Linked DNA regions of Arabidopsis thaliana. The protein of the gene in region 2 interacts with the protein of the main gene of each other region in a pairwise test. Each region holds a gene or a part of one and is shown on either strand. Other genes may lie near its edges.

Evidence for each region.
Region 1: the proteins of ARD4 (region 2) and VAP27-2 interact in a two-hybrid assay, tested with the Arabidopsis thaliana proteins (one large-scale study listed by BioGRID).
Region 3: the proteins of ARD4 (region 2) and AXS1 interact in a two-hybrid assay, tested with the Arabidopsis thaliana proteins (one large-scale study listed by BioGRID).

Annotation. Positions count from the first base shown.
Region 1 is NC_003070.9:2,820,835-2,827,263, forward strand, and holds VAP27-2 (vamp/synaptobrevin-associated protein 27-2), read right to left. Parts: upstream 4,648-6,429; 5' UTR 3,740-4,647; exon of another isoform or gene 3,643-3,739; 5' UTR 3,579-3,642; coding exon 3,530-3,578; intron 3,064-3,529; coding exon 2,993-3,063; intron 2,864-2,992; coding exon 2,782-2,863; intron 2,387-2,781; coding exon 2,271-2,386; intron 2,179-2,270; coding exon 1,999-2,178; intron 1,808-1,998; coding exon 1,337-1,807; intron 1,261-1,336; coding exon 1,183-1,260; intron 1,090-1,182; coding exon 976-1,089; 3' UTR 520-975; downstream 1-519. UniProt on the Arabidopsis thaliana protein: May play a role in vesicle trafficking.
Region 2 is NC_003076.8:17,626,629-17,630,990, forward strand, and holds ARD4 (RmlC-like cupins superfamily protein), read right to left. Parts: upstream 2,736-4,362; 5' UTR 2,495-2,735; coding exon 2,483-2,494; intron 2,258-2,482; coding exon 2,170-2,257; intron 1,954-2,169; coding exon 1,859-1,953; intron 1,240-1,858; coding exon 1,000-1,239; intron 865-999; coding exon 736-864; 3' UTR 504-735; downstream 1-503. Other genes in the region: CLH2 (chlorophyllase 2), read left to right, coding at 3,864-4,133. UniProt on the Arabidopsis thaliana protein: Catalyzes 2 different reactions between oxygen and the acireductone 1,2-dihydroxy-3-keto-5-methylthiopentene (DHK-MTPene) depending upon the metal bound in the active site.
Region 3 is NC_003071.7:11,863,758-11,868,557, forward strand, and holds AXS1 (UDP-D-apiose/UDP-D-xylose synthase 1), read right to left. Parts: upstream 3,242-4,800; 5' UTR 3,087-3,241; coding exon 2,811-3,086; intron 2,653-2,810; coding exon 2,560-2,652; intron 2,459-2,559; coding exon 2,351-2,458; intron 2,072-2,350; coding exon 1,957-2,071; intron 1,882-1,956; coding exon 1,748-1,881; intron 1,660-1,747; coding exon 1,558-1,659; intron 1,449-1,557; coding exon 1,356-1,448; intron 1,267-1,355; coding exon 1,131-1,266; intron 1,040-1,130; coding exon 927-1,039; 3' UTR 520-926; downstream 1-519. UniProt on the Arabidopsis thaliana protein: Together with AXS2, catalyzes the conversion of UDP-D-glucuronate into a mixture of UDP-D-apiose (UDP-Api) as the main product and UDP-D-xylose to a lesser extent, via a cycle of oxidation and reduction.

The DNA of each region.
Region 1 (6,429 bases), on a different chromosome or scaffold from region 2:
TGTGATAATAGTTGTAATTGTGGTAAGAAAATAAATAAAGATAAAGTGTGGGAAGAAACACAATTATTTCATTGAATTTCTCCATGATTAAAGGGAATCATTCACTGCAACTTGGACATCCTCAAGTTTAGAAGAAAAAAAGATATTACATTTTGCTTGACTCTTTAGATCCATGTCTTTTGTTTTCAACTTTTCATATATCACGCATCTCTCGTTGCCTCTGTTTAACTAATATTCTTACAACTTATAATTATACCAATATGTGAAAAGACCCATTAGTTAGATTTGTGTTCTTTGTGATATGATTTCCATGTTGATGCTTACAAGTTACAACTTTCATTCATGTTTTTCTTTATTTTGTCATCTACGTGAAGGATGTGAATTTGAAAGGGAAAAAAAAAATGAACCAAACCAAACCAAAATGTCTACCCTCTTAAACGAAAATTGAAACGAAAAATCTGTTATTGTTGTTGTATTTTACGTATAACAATTAGTAGTGTTAGATTCTATTTATGTAAAACCGAACTTAGTGCAACCAAACCAAACTAAACCAAACAAATCTACGTATTCTTAAAATTGAATTAACCTAAAATCGAAATAATAAACCAGGCAAATAACCCAATAGTATTGGGCCAATACCCATCACTAGGCCCTAGCCCCTGCCTGGTCTATACGACAAAAGAAAACGAAAAAAAAAAGAAGGGAACGTAAGAAGAGACAAATCAATCCAACAGCTTCAAATTAGTAAGAGAAGCAGAGAAACAAAGCATATCATCATACCATATGTCCTTGTGTCCTTGTGTTAACTAACACCAATGCTATACAGTCTATCATATTCCATCTTAAATGTGTCGGAGAAATCATTCATCCTCTCCCACAAAGCAAACCCAAACAGACGAAATCTAATCCTTTTACCTTCTTTGTCTATATATCCCTTACTGCACACTTGATATGATATAGACACCGAGCGAGCAGTCAAGTGCGCAGAAAGTGCCCGATAACATAGGCAATGAATGCCACAACGCATACATACAGCAGAGGGAACCCATTGTGCACTTCTTTCACTATCTTCTTCGTTCTCAGTTCCGCCTGCATCATCATCAAAATACAAGCTTCGTTATTATGAAACTGTTTTGATTGTAGGAGAAAGAAACAGCTATGTTTTCTCACTAGCATTCTCACCAGCTCATGTTGCAAGCTTTGTCTATGTTGGGAGCTTATAGATCGCTCCTCCATTAGCTTCGAAATGGTTGAATCAGCCTGCACCAGATTTAAACTCTTTAGCACAGTTACATATAGCACGGAAGTTATGGATTTTAAAATTTGATAAGCAGACCTGTTTTAACTTGGATTCAAGAGCATCCACTTTCAGCTTCATCTCCTCAATGTCTTTAACCAACTTAAGTTCATCCAATCCTCTGACATTCTGGCCATCTGTTTTCTGCAGCTGGACAACATCTCTCTCCTTAGATATCTTTGGTTCACTGTCAACAGCTATTCCATTAGTAAACCCTTGATCCCTAGGTAGATCCATGGCCTTCTTCATGGGAGCGTCCAAATTAGTTGTTGCCTTAATCGCCCTTCCATCATCCGCATCCTTATGAGACCTAATTGGATCGAATCCAGTTTCTTTTGCCATCCTCGATGAATCGTAGCTATCTTTAGTTGCCTTCAAGTCATTAGCAGTATATCGATCTTCCACAAAATCCACTGTGGCCATTTTTGGTGTCTTTAACTCCTTTGCATTGTCGGCTGCCTTTAACTCATCATGTCCAACCATCCTAGGCTCTTTTACAATCTCACCCTCCTAGAAAAATAAATTTTGAGAATAAACAAATAACTACAAGAAAATCCCTATTGCACCCAATAACTGTGATTATAAGCTAAGCTAAAATGAACTTGCTGGAACATAACTACACTCACTGCTTGGCAAATTACTCTTCATCTTACTAACAAATCATAAAAGTTGTTGCGAAAAGGGGTAAATACTCTTCTTACATATTGTGGCGGAGCTAGGGTCTCTGACTGGCTATATAAACGATCCTTGAGGATGGAATCTTCAAATACTGCTCCCTGCTTCGGTGTATTGATTGGAGATAGTTCAGGTGAGTCAGAGGGCGGTACGAGCGTGACCCTGAGTTTGTTCTCCTCTATGTGTTTGCCTTCGGCTTTCGAAAACTGCCAAGAATAAATGAGTGTACATATATACTTGACAGACCAAATAACTGAAATTAATGATAAAGAAGGTCAACAAGTGTTGGAATGCTTACCATGCTAGCTGTGATGTCTTCATCAGTTGTTTCCGCAGATACAGCAGTACTCTGGATTAAGAATTTGTCTTTGCAAACCATATCTGGAGGTGGTTCTTTAAAAGCTTGCATAATGACTGCATAAATAACATATACAACTCAATAACCCAAAGCATTGACTGAATTTGAATTTCAAGAACCCATTCATCATCAACCAGTTTAAAATTTTGAATGCTCAAACAAACCCAAAAATGCAGGTTCCACGTAATGAGTAATAACTTGAACTTTAATAATTCCATCCGGAGCAGATACCTTCTCTCTTGAACAACTACACTAAACTCTAAAAGCCTAGGATCTTAAAACAATGTCCAAACGCTGTTTAAGTCCAAGGGACAAAGGACAGATCTATACATATATTCCAGTTCATTTCCCGCCCCATGTAGACATCATGCAACAGTTTATCACATCGGCCTAAGAACGTCGGTGCAAGAAATTCAAGCATTGCTGGGAAGAATATAAAAAGTAGGCATACCAGTGAATTCACAGGTTGATTTAGGTGCAACAACACCAACATTTGGACGAACACAGTACTTCTTTGGTGATGTGGTTTTAACCTGTCAAAAACCACATCTAGTTTAGGTTTGTATACAGAAAGAATACTTTTTCTCAGAAATTTTATAAGATATTCGAAATCCTGAAGCCAGAAAGAAAGAGAAAAAGTTTGAGAAGAATCTTCTTTAGACCTTAAATGCAACATAATGATGGGTAGTATTGGTTAGCTGTACCACGCAGGAAGTTTGCTTCTTCAGGTCAACTACAAAAGATGAAACCAGTTAGTATTACAAGGATAACAATGCCAAGGCAAAGATATTCCTTTTACAACTTCCATATTTTATTATAGATCCTCAGAATCGATATGAGAGGTAAGAAACCACATCACAGAATGTCAGCACATACAAATCCAGTAGCAGGAAAGAGTTAGAAGATTCCTCCAAACAACAGCCACATTAACATCACATCAATTCATCTTACAGGAGAATAGACCCACAAACAATAGCACCACTATGATAGAATTCTAACGAAATAGTGAGAATTCAGAAAACTCGGTATTCATAACTGGAACATGTTGGCCACTTTGCTTAAGGAATAACACACCCTCGCTATGAAATCCACATTTTACAAAAAAATAAGAAACTATTAACGGGACCACAGTGTCTACTCACTGGAACTTAAAAATGATCATTTTACAATTGATAAGAATCAGTCCCCTTATATCTTACCTGCAAACTGCAACGTTCGTGGTTGAATATCCAACAGCGGCATATTCATGTTGCTGTGACAAAATGACTCAAGTATCAAACAGCTACCACTTGCAGCAGGATTCTCTCCACCCCTATTTCAACAAAAAAATAATAAGAGAAAGATCAGCCCAGAACCATTCAAGTATGAAACTGTCGACACTAGAGCGAAAAACAAACTCAGATCTATACTCTATTTGGGACAATCATAAACCCGCTCTCCCATTGGGAACATGACGAAATCTAACCAAACAGTCAACAATCAGAAAAGTTTCTCTGTTACACTCTTTCGAGTCCGGATTCTCGTCTTCCGTCACCATAAACAAACCACCGCACTAACTCGTCGACGACGCGTTCTCAAATCTGACGATACGAACTCGCCCGAAGACTCAAACGTGACTATATTTTACCTTAATGCGCTCGTTTTTTCTCAGCGATCCGACCGACACAATTTTTTGGGCAACGCGCTTTCGACTAGCCGGAAAACCAAATCGTCCTAGTCCCCCAGTGTGATCTAGTTACGCCACCACAGGCCTGATAGTATTAAAACAAAAGGGCGAAATAAAACGACGACGTTTACGAGGAGCGACTCCTCGGGATCCGGTAGCCAATAGTAAACTCAGATCACATAGATCTTCCCGAGCCCTAGCGATTTCGATTTCTAAAGCAGATTCTAAAGACAAAAATCAGGAAACTCGAGGAAGAGGAACCTAGTTTCGAAACAAAAACAAAAACCAGAGAAGAAGATGATCAACGAGAATGATGAAATCGGAAGGAAACCTTACCGTCTCTCCGACGAAGAACTAACGGAACGGAGCTTGAGATTGAGCGACGAAGAAGCAGCGATCGAGAGAAAGAGAGAAGTGCAAAAACTAATCTTAGTGAAGGCCAAGTATGGAAATGTATTAATGTGTTCAAACACATTAAAATTGAATTTTTTTTTAAGAAAAAGTATGGTACTGAGATTCAGAGATGGTGAATATCTGTTGTACCTAACAGCAATTTAGTAAACTATAATTTCTGACGACTATTTTTCGATACTTTTGTAACAATTATCGTAAAAAACAAAAAATTAAGTGAGATTACATTCGACGTTAGATGCCAGAAATAATATATATATGTGATTGTGAATATGTACCTTTTTTTCTTTTTTCAATGAGTGTAATATGAATGCTTTGAGAGGATTACACGCGTGATTCTGATTCGGATCACCAACTTCTTTTGCTTCCCTTTTAATTTCTTTCCTATCTTTTGCTTTTCCCATTCATCTCTCTCGCTTTCCACAAAGGCGAGATTTGAATACGTAATCCTAATTATACTCTCATAGAGATTTGGTAATTTGGCCCAAAATATCTTTCTACTTTGTAATATGTCGATGCATAGAAAACATAATCTTATTCTAACATTCACAAATCTCCTATATTTCCATATTGAATCTCTCAGTCTGGATCGGTTTGTAATCTCTGTCCAGCTACCTCTTACGTTTCAGGTGTTTCTATGATTTATCCATTGGCTTCATTGGCTGCCTATAACTTATATATCATGTTGCAATCTTTGTGTGTGTTGTGTTGGGGAGAGCTTATAGCCGGCCGCTCCTCCATTAGCTTCCAAATGGTTGAATCAGTCTGTATCAGATTTAAACTCAGTGATAGCACCCACGTTATGCATGATTTTTAAGATTTGATAAGCAGACTGTTTTTAACTTCAATTCAAGAGCATCATCCACTTTCGGCTTAATATCCTATATTAATTTCTTTAACAAGCTAAAATGAACATAATGAAAATAACTACACTCACTGATTGGCAATTACTAATATCTCAAAACATTAAGAAGTATTTTTTTTTTTTTTGGGTGAAAAGTCACTGTCTTTTTCTTAAAGCCAAAATTTATACGGAACGACAAAACAAAAAATATGACTAAAAACTTCTTAAGCGCAATCACTGACCATGCAGCCTATTTTAGTTTTTAAGTCTTTTATATACATTGGCTGTTATAGTCGTAAAACAATCAGGTATTTGTTATGGAGATAACAATTTGGGAACGCATAAATAGTGCCTCTGATGGTTGGAAGTGGAACAAAATCACAATATTTTTTTCTAGTGTATAAACAACATACAAATATCATGTCACCTGCAAAGAGAATAATATGCCAAAATTTTGATATAATACGCATAACAGAGTTTATATATCAACGTTCTAGACTTATAGGTGATCATCCATTATCTTTAACCTCTTGTAGCTAGCTAGGTTAATTAGGAGATGCATGCATCTAGATAGGCATATATAGTCTAACATTACAAATCCATCAAAGGTTCCCTTCTTCTTCTCCAAAGAAATTAGCTACATACAAATTTGACAGACTCTCATAAATATATATATATATGTTTATAGATTATATTATTAAAAATACAAATGATATTTTCTGTATTTTGTTAAAATTAGTTCTTAAGATTTTATGAAATTTATAATTGAGCCAACGTCTTAGAAATAATTATACGACATACGTAATTTAAATTCAATGACGATGACTTAAACTTAATGTTTTACAGTATTTATCCAATCAAATTTTACCACATCAGCAGAGAAGAGTCAAACTTAGGAAAAGTCTATCTTGGATTATCCTGACGTGGCTTTTTTCAAGTAAGAAATAAATTAATGCTAATCACGTACGTACCTACCCAGCTTTTGGACCTCGTGGGCTATATAGAAAACAAGTAACCAAAGAGAGACGAAGCAAAAACATTCAGAGAGAAAATTCAGCATTTTTGATAGCTCAAGCACTTGATTCTTTCCAAAGGGGTTTCCTGAGGTATGTTTGCTTTCCTTTTTGGTTTTAATTTGTTTCAAATCTTAGATCGATTCTTCACTTTGGATTCTTAAA
Region 2 (4,362 bases):
TTTGTGTTCTTTTGTCTTCTATGAATATCAGAAAATCTAAAATTTAATTAATCATTATAAATTTAGTGACTATGCTCCAACATTTATAAGCTTCGTTTTCGCCCATGACACGTTGTAGTGAATGCATAGAGATACGTTTCGTGGTTTGTTTGTTTATTCTGAAGTCAGAATGATGGGATTTTTGGTGGAACCCTTTGAAAGATTTGTGTAGAGAACAAGAGTATCCTTTGAAAATTTGATTGATCCTTGATTCAATTGAATTGGGTTGGGGGAAAACCAGATCTAACCACACCAAATCAAACGGTTAAGCACGACACAAGCAGAATTATACATTATATATATATATACAATTAATATATTGATAATGCATAATTTTAAGAAGATTTTGTAAAGAAGAGGTCATTTCAAATATAAGAAAATTTATGCTTTAACTTTTGAAGTACACTAACACTATATAAGTAATAATACTTGAATTACAGTTTGGAAAGCTCAAATAATTTATTCGAAAATCGTAGGGTTTTTTTAGTTATAAATTTCACGTTCGCAGCTGACATTTGTTTTTTAATGATACTTATTAGATAAATACACACTATTTTTTTTATGTATAAAAGCATACATCGCAAAAGTATGTTACAAGAACAACTATCCAGAAGGAGCCGCTGTTTTTATTTTACTGCTTAAGACTAAAGAGTAAACAATACATACAAATTACACAACAAGCATATATTAATATTGTTAATGTGCTTTAACGGTTTCTCCAAACTTGTAGGTTAAGCCGTGGATATACTTTTTCCTAACAGGATGTTCTTCCTGTGGCCGGTTATATGGTGTCCAAACCGGTTCCCCCACGAACAGCCTCATTAGCTGCAAAACCAAACCACCATACATCACAAACCAACAATCAAATCTTTTAACATAAGATATTAAGATGTAATATTTCATTTGCGTATTCATATAAATTAGTAAATTAGTATAGAGACTGAGTTTGGCTTTTTGTACCTTGATGTAGTTGCTGGCGTCGAGTGTGAACCGGTGGTAGATTCCGGCAGGAAGGACAATGAGATCGCCAGGTTGCATCCAGATACGGATCCAACGATCATCCTTGTCCCTAACATCAAAGTAGCCACTTCCTGCTAGGCAGTACCGAATCTCTTCGTCCTTGTGAATGTGTTCTGTGAAAAAGTTCTTCAGCTTTTCTTCGTAGTTGCTGACTTTCTCGGGACACAGATCCAGCAAATCCTAAAATGAAGATTAACCAAAGTAATCATTCTGCTTGAGAAAATTAGTTTATAGCTCATAAGTTACAATGCTACACACCACACAAATAGCTTAATTATTTTTAACGTAAACCAAACGTTTTAATGTTCCCTTAATACTCAATTACAGAGAAGCCTTCTTCCTTAATAAGCTGGTTTCTAAAATGTTTGTAGTCATACTACCCCTTAATGGTTATGCAAGATTATAGTCCTACTGTCCTATGATACATGTTTTTTTTTTTCATGAGATTAGCGTGCAGAGATAACAAGTAAAGGAACTGAAACATCAATAGCCGCTTATGGTGAGCATGAGTTAAAAAAGGGTGATCAGAAAGACATAAGCCGTAGCAAATCCTGTACTCTAATACTCATAAGGCTTCTTTCTTCATAGGCTGGTTTTGTAAGGTTTGAGTACTACCTTCATTATGTAGTCCTACACTCCTACTGTGTCTAGTATATGTCACAATCGTTAATCTCATGAGATCAACATGCAACGATATGCAACAAGTTAAAAAACAGAGACATTCAATTGGCATTTATGATGAGCATGAGTGTTCCTAAGTTAAGAAAAAACAGTGATCAGGAAGAGATAATATGCGTACCATGTAATCGTAACCCCTGTCTTCTCTAATCTTGCTAAGTTCAGAATCATTCTCGTAGTTCTCAGGGTTCAACTTCCAGTACAACACTCCCAACTCTACAAAACACAACAACTATATTTGTGATATTTGCATAATTTATGATTCTGTTAAATCTCATCTTGGGTAAATTTGACCATTTCCTTAGTTTTAAGACGGTTTACGTTTAGTTTCCTCATGTAGAATCACTACTCAATACAATAAAGCATGAAAGATTGATGTTTTTCAAAAGTTGCAAAGTAAGAGTAATTTTTAAGGTAGAGAATTGAAAAGACCTGCCAAGTAATCCAACGAGACGAGTTCTTTCGGGTTACGATGATGAGGAAGTCTCTGGTCCTCATTGCTATCATCCATAAACCATGCCTGCATCAATCAACACTTAAGCCTCAGGGAAAGAAAAAAATCTCAAGAAAAAACTTTTGATTCAATTTTCAATTTCAGCTGCAAAACGGTAAAATCAAATCCCAATTCTCAGTTCTGCCAAAATCAAATCAAATCCCCAAAATAATTCCGAAAGAGCAACGATAATCACTATTGAACGAATCGAGATTCGAAATCAGAATCTAGAACCTATGAATCAGAACTCACCTCGAGAGCCATTAATGATCTTCGTTGTGTAAATGCTTTTTTGATTTCAGACTCATCAGAGTGATGAAGATCAGATAAATAAATGGCTATTTCCTCCGTCGATGATAGCCACGTGTACGATCACTTTAATTCGTATTATTTTCCTTTCTCCTAATTTTTATTAATTCTGGTTTCGAAATTCTAATAATAAAAAATCGTTATTTTTTCTTTTGCACGAAAAAAACAACCGTTTTCGAGCCACAATGATCATGAATGAATAAGACCAAAACATTGGCTCATTTGTATGATATTGTATTTTCTGAGGTTCATATATTTCCATCTGATTTGAACTAGAATGATCTATATTCAGATATATAATTTATATTTCAAACTTGAAATTAGTTTTAACTAGAAAAAAAAAATGTAATCCAAAATCGTACATAGGTATATATATTTTTTTTCCACAAATCGTACATAGGTAATGAGGTAATGTTTAACACTTTAACTTGGGCCGTGTAATACAAATTGGGCCGTTTAACACTTTAAATTAGTCTCGAATGTTATATAATGTTTTTTTTTTTTTTAAATTGGACTAGAGAAAAAGTAGTCTAGTATGAAGTACAAAGCCCATTCCTTGTACCCAGCAACAGCATATCAATTTATTTTTTTGCTAAGAGCATATCATATCATATCAATTTTTTTCTCTTCTATATTTTAATTTTTAATACTTCTTAGTCATAAATCTTTTGACCATTTATTATTAAATTTAATCTGAAACACAAAGTAACTTTCTTACAAAAATTCAAATCTCCAATTATTTTGTTTGAATTTAAATATTTTTTAAAATTCCAAAAAATCTCATATATATAGGATCTGACTTTGTTTAAATATAGAGAAATTTAACTAGACTATAATAAAAAGACTTCATAAAATTTATTACCCAAAATTAGAAAAAATCAGGTTTCAATACTGAAAATAGACTATGAATATATGGCCTTATGATTGTAGTTGTTATATTCCATGCACACATAAGTAATTTCTTTCTATTTGATTTGTTTTTTAAAAAAAAATATTTAGAAGTTTAAATTTAAAGGTCTTATATTTTTTAGAGATGGGACACAAGTTAAATTTATATTCTTTAGAAAATAGATTCTTTTCAACAGACGTTTAATCCAATATCTACATCTGGAAGATTTATCATTACACCAACCCCAATAATATAAGTAATTTAACATAAGTAATTTTTTTCTATTTGATTTTGTTTATGTGCTCTTTAAAATTAACCAAGATTTCAACGGCCATACTTCTTATAACTTTTAATAATATCTCTACTCACCTCATTCTCATGAACCCACCAAACAAAAAAAGTAAAGAAAAGAAAAACTAATAAAGAACAAAAAAAATGTCCTCTTCTTCATCAAGAAACGCCTTTGAAGATGGCAAATACAAATCAAATCTCTTAACCTTGGACTCATCATCTCGTTGCTGCAAAATAACACCGTCTTCTAGAGCTTCACCGTCTCCGCCAAAGCAGCTGTTGGTGGCTACGCCGGTGGAGGAAGGAGATTATCCGGTGGTGATGCTCCTCCATGGTTACCTTCTCTACAACTCCTTCTATTCTCAGCTTATGTTGCATGTCTCTTCTCATGGCTTCATCCTCATCGCTCCTCAGGTTCAATTTCAATTTCCAATCATTACATTAGTTCAGGAACTAATTAGCCACTGAAATTCTTGTTTAGTTTTAGATTCCTATGTGTATTAGTAATTTAGTATAGAAATTATTTTTTGGGGGGTCAAACTAGTGTATAGTTTTTGTTTAATTAGTAAAATGTTATGAGTTATTTTTATGGAAATGGTACTATCGGAATTGTTAAATCCAGTGTATAGTTTTTGTTTAGGGA
Region 3 (4,800 bases), on a different chromosome or scaffold from region 2:
CTGTATTGGTGAATCGTTGAGTGACTTATGAGGCTTTTGGCATCTTAAAATTTTTGGATTATTATAATATATGTTATGTTGTCATTTTGGAGTGTTAATGGGTTTAAATGAAATATGATTTTTGCTCTTTTCAAGTTCATAAAATTTCGAAGTTGCTGGCTGATTCATGATAAGTACTATACAATGTCGATATGTTATGATCTAATCTTGATCGCAATACTAAGTAGATGGAGTATATTAAATCAGAAATAGTTGAACTAGAATATGCTCTAACAATGTATTTTATGTACATGAGTTAGAAAGAAAGAAAAAAAGACTCATTTTCTTCTAGTTTGCTTTGCCTTCATTGAATTAAAAATTCAGTGAAAACAATTCAAAATATAAAAATAATGATAATGCGTCTGCCGGGAGTCGAACCCGGGTCTATTGCTTGGAAGGCAATTATCCTAACCGTTGGACTACAGACGCTACTTGTGATTTATATATTACAATTTAAAAATAAAATCGAATTTAATTGTCGAGCGTTCCAAAACTACTAGACTTTCTTTCATACTCTGTAGTCCACTTGTTTTTTTTCTGAACGAAACACAATGTGTTACTTGACAGAAGATAATTACATTTGTTCTTGTACTTGTACACATGTAAAACGAAGCATTTTAAAATATACACTCGAACATTTATCATTCGCTACAAACGATTAACCTCTTGCTTTCTGACAGCTCCGACATACATGGCCAAACAAACCAAACAAAAAGAGAAAACTTACAAACGAAAAGGTATACTTGGAACGAACCACCGTGATTATATCGTTTTCTTAAAAAGAAAAAAGAAAAAAAGTTTTCTCTGGGATGAAAAAAATAGAATCGAATAGAGTAAAATGCCAAAATGACGCGTGTTTAACGAGTTTCGTTGGGGTCTTGGAGAGTTTAGGAAGCCACTGGTTTGGATGTTGCCTTCTTCACAGCTTCAGCGTATGTCCTGTGCTGGTAGGTTAAGGTCGACTCGAGCAAGTCCCATAGCGATGTTTTCGGGTTCCATCCTATTTTCAAAGTCCAAAATTCTATCAGAATAGCAATTGATTTTGATTTTAAAGCATATTATCTATCATGTTGGTGATTATGAAGAATTACCGAGTTGGCGGTTAATGATGGTCATGTCTGGGATTCTCTTGTCACTGTCATCATAACCTTCCCCGTAAAACTCTTTGGAGCTAACATCAACCGTTGGGCTCTCAATGGCTCCTTCTCCACTCACTTTTGCGTAAACCTGAAACATGATTCGTTTTGAGAATTGAGAACCAGCGACAGAGAAATCAAACTATTTTCATAGTTTCCTAACTGATCCATCTTCCTCACCTCGGTCATCATTTCAGCGAGCTGTCTTACTGTAACTTCGTTGTTCGGGTTGCCTACGTTGAAGATGTGCCCATTTGCCCTCTCTGGGTTTTCCTGAACCACAAACATACAATGTCATTATAGGTTTTAGTTGAAACTACTTCGAACTTCTAACATTAACAGTTTGTAAACAAAAAGCTATATATCAGGCAATGGAACGTACAATCATCAAAAGGACAGCTTCAATAGCATCATTGATGTAGACGAAAGTTCTCTGTGATTCTCCACCATCTACAAGCTTGAGAGGCTCACGACGTAGAAGATTCTGAAAGATAGATAGAGATGCATTAACTAAAAGCTTGCATATATACACAGACTAGCATTGGGTTATATACTTGGATTTGAACACTTACGTTACTAAAGCAGGCAAGGACACGTGGGACACCTTCGCTAGGACCATCAATGCCGGGGATGAAATCCATCCTAGGTCCAATCCAGTTAAAAGGTCGTACGATGGTGAACTCAAGCCCATTCTCAGCACCCTCAGCTGTCACAAGAAACAAGTGAAGTTAAGTGTAAACCTTTTGTTTTTACCAACATCATCTTAAACAGAAATGCTTACCGTAAACAAGTCTCTCAATCAGTTGCTTTGCACACGCATATGACCACCTCTGCTTCTCAATTGAACCAAATATGCAAGGGGAAATATCTTCTTTAAGAACATAGAAAGCAGGATCCTGTAGAAAGGCACAACAAACAACATCAGTAAACAGTGAACCCAACCTTAGACGAATAATATCAACTATTCCAAGCTTCTATGGGTGTGTGATAGACTAGCGGACTAAAGTCTTAATTCAATTCAAAAATACGTTTAACGAGATCCAATGAGTAATTCATAATGTGGCTATTAAAACGAACGAAAACGTCAGCTTCAACATGTTCCTCAGTACATTCATCGATGAGATTGATAAAAAGACAATAACATGTGGAAAGCGAAATGTACAAAAAGGCATTACATCACGCAGAGGATGATCCTTAGGAAGAAAGCTTCCAATGGTTTTTCCATAAACTTCACAGGTAGAAAAGTGAATGAGACGCTTGTTGTTCTCAGAACAGTATTTCACCTAACAAAACCAACGCATTACACAATCATCACTGTCTCCATCAACTTCAAAAACAAGAGCTAAAGCAAAACAATGAACGAAGCTAAGAAGAAAACACATACAACTGGAAGCGCATCAATGAAATTGCTGTAGATAGTATCAAGAGGACGTGTATTGTAATCAGCTGGAGTACAGATCGCAGCAAGATTTATAATCTGCGAATCCAAAAAGAAACATCAGAATTACATCACAACATCACCGATCTCAATACATTGCGAAACATCTGAATTCCGATAACGAATCAGATCTGAGACTTCTATCATAAACACCGAAGAACAAGAGATCAAAAAACGAAATCGATAAGCATTTTTACCAGATCCGCCATCTTAACAAGACCTTCAAGTCTCGAATCATGCTTAATATTGATACGATGAAACTGGATCCGACCACTCCATTCAACGGTATCAGGCTCAAGCAAGTGTTTGATCTTATCGTTGTAAACATCGAGCGCAAGCACCTTATGTGGCGTCTCGGTCAAGAGCTTTTCACAGAGATGTGAACCGATGAAACCTCCGGCGCCGATCATGCATATTGTCAACGGTTGTATCGGTTTCCCGTCGAGATCCACTCTATTAGCTCCATTCGCCATTTTTTTTCTCAGATCAGAAAAAATAATCAAGTTCTCTGTAGAGAGAGAATCTAAAGAGGAAGAGAGAGTGGTGACGGTGGATATTTAAGAGAGAAGATGCATCGCATGTGAACGGAGGCAAATTGGTTCGTCGAATTTTGAAATCTCACTCTCTGTATCGGCGCGTGGTGTGTACTCGCTTCCACGTGATCTCGTTTAAATTGGAAAGGATGCGATATTTTATTTGTTCGACTAATCATTTTGTATGATTATTAATTATGAATGTTTAGTAGTCTAATAATTGTGTTTAAGAGTTAAGAAAAAACTTCTTTTTAACTAGATAAATCGTTCTTTGTAACTTTCGATTTTTTTTTTTGGGTAAGCCAAGGGAGACAAAGTCTCCCAAGATTTATTAATGAAAAAGAAAATTACATTCGCACTTGACGTGAAACCGTAGCTCCACTAGTGTCATCCAACAAAATAAAACGTAAAGAATCCGGAACCAAACTAAGAGAATGAAAACCTAATGGTAACGAAAATGCATAGTTGGCTAACCCGTCAGCAAGACGGTTAGCTTCCCTATAAACGTGTGAAATACGGACTCTCCAGTCCCTTGATATGAAGTCATGGCACAATCGTACCAGGAAAGACAGCGGATGTACCTCGTTTATCCCTATCTTCAAAAAACCCACAACAATCTCTGAGTCCACCTCAATCTCTAACCGTGTGACTCGTCGCTCCCAAGCAATGTAGAGGCCATAGTACACTCCCCATAGCTCTGCCAAAGGTGCTGAACAAACTCCAATGTTCAGAGCAAAACCTCCTCTCCAAGCTCCTTCCTCATCTCGTAGCACACCACCAGCAGACGCTAAACCCGGATTACCTCTGGAAGCCCCATCCGTATTAAGTTTCCACCAACCTTCCTCGGGTTTCGACCACGCGATCAGTCTTTCCACCCGTTCTCCATGACCCCCACTCAGTGTCCTGACTATCACATGAGCCATGGACGTCTCCCTAGCCAGATCCTTTAAGAAACGCACCCGATCTCGACATTTGTCTTGAACACCAAAAATGTTGCCACACCGCCATTTCCAGGCCCACCAAATAGACAAAGCAAATAAAGTTGACCAAGTACTCTCACAAGTCTTCCGCCTATCACCCAGATTAGCAAACAACCACTCCAATAACGATTGTGTAAAGAACTCTCGGCGCTTACCCGCAGGAACTAAGCGGATCCAAATGCCTTCCATAGCAGGACAATCACGAAGAATATGTATGATTGTTTTTTCAGCTCCTTTACAGATTTGGCAAATGTCCGAATCACTTAGATGCCTCCTCCTCCTCTCAGCATTCGTCATCAGAACTTGCTGCATTCCAAGCCATAGGAAGAGCCGCACTCTCTCCGGTACCACGACTTCCCATACTCTCTTGTAATTTCCGATTGATATCAAGTCAAATTATTAATTTTTATATTGAAAAGACATTTGGAGTATTTTTTTTGGGTTATTATTTCTGATAAAATCAAATTTACATTGAGAAGAATGGCTTTGGGGAATCAATACAAAAAGTCTTTTCTACGTAGAAGAAAACTTGACCCAGCAACATTAGAGATTCCATTTTGCATTACGAAACTTAAACTGGTTAGGAAATAATTTAATTATTTGCCCAAAAAGGGAAATAATTTAAACAAAATATGATTTTATTGACGTTATTTTAATTAAGCTTCAGTCTTAAC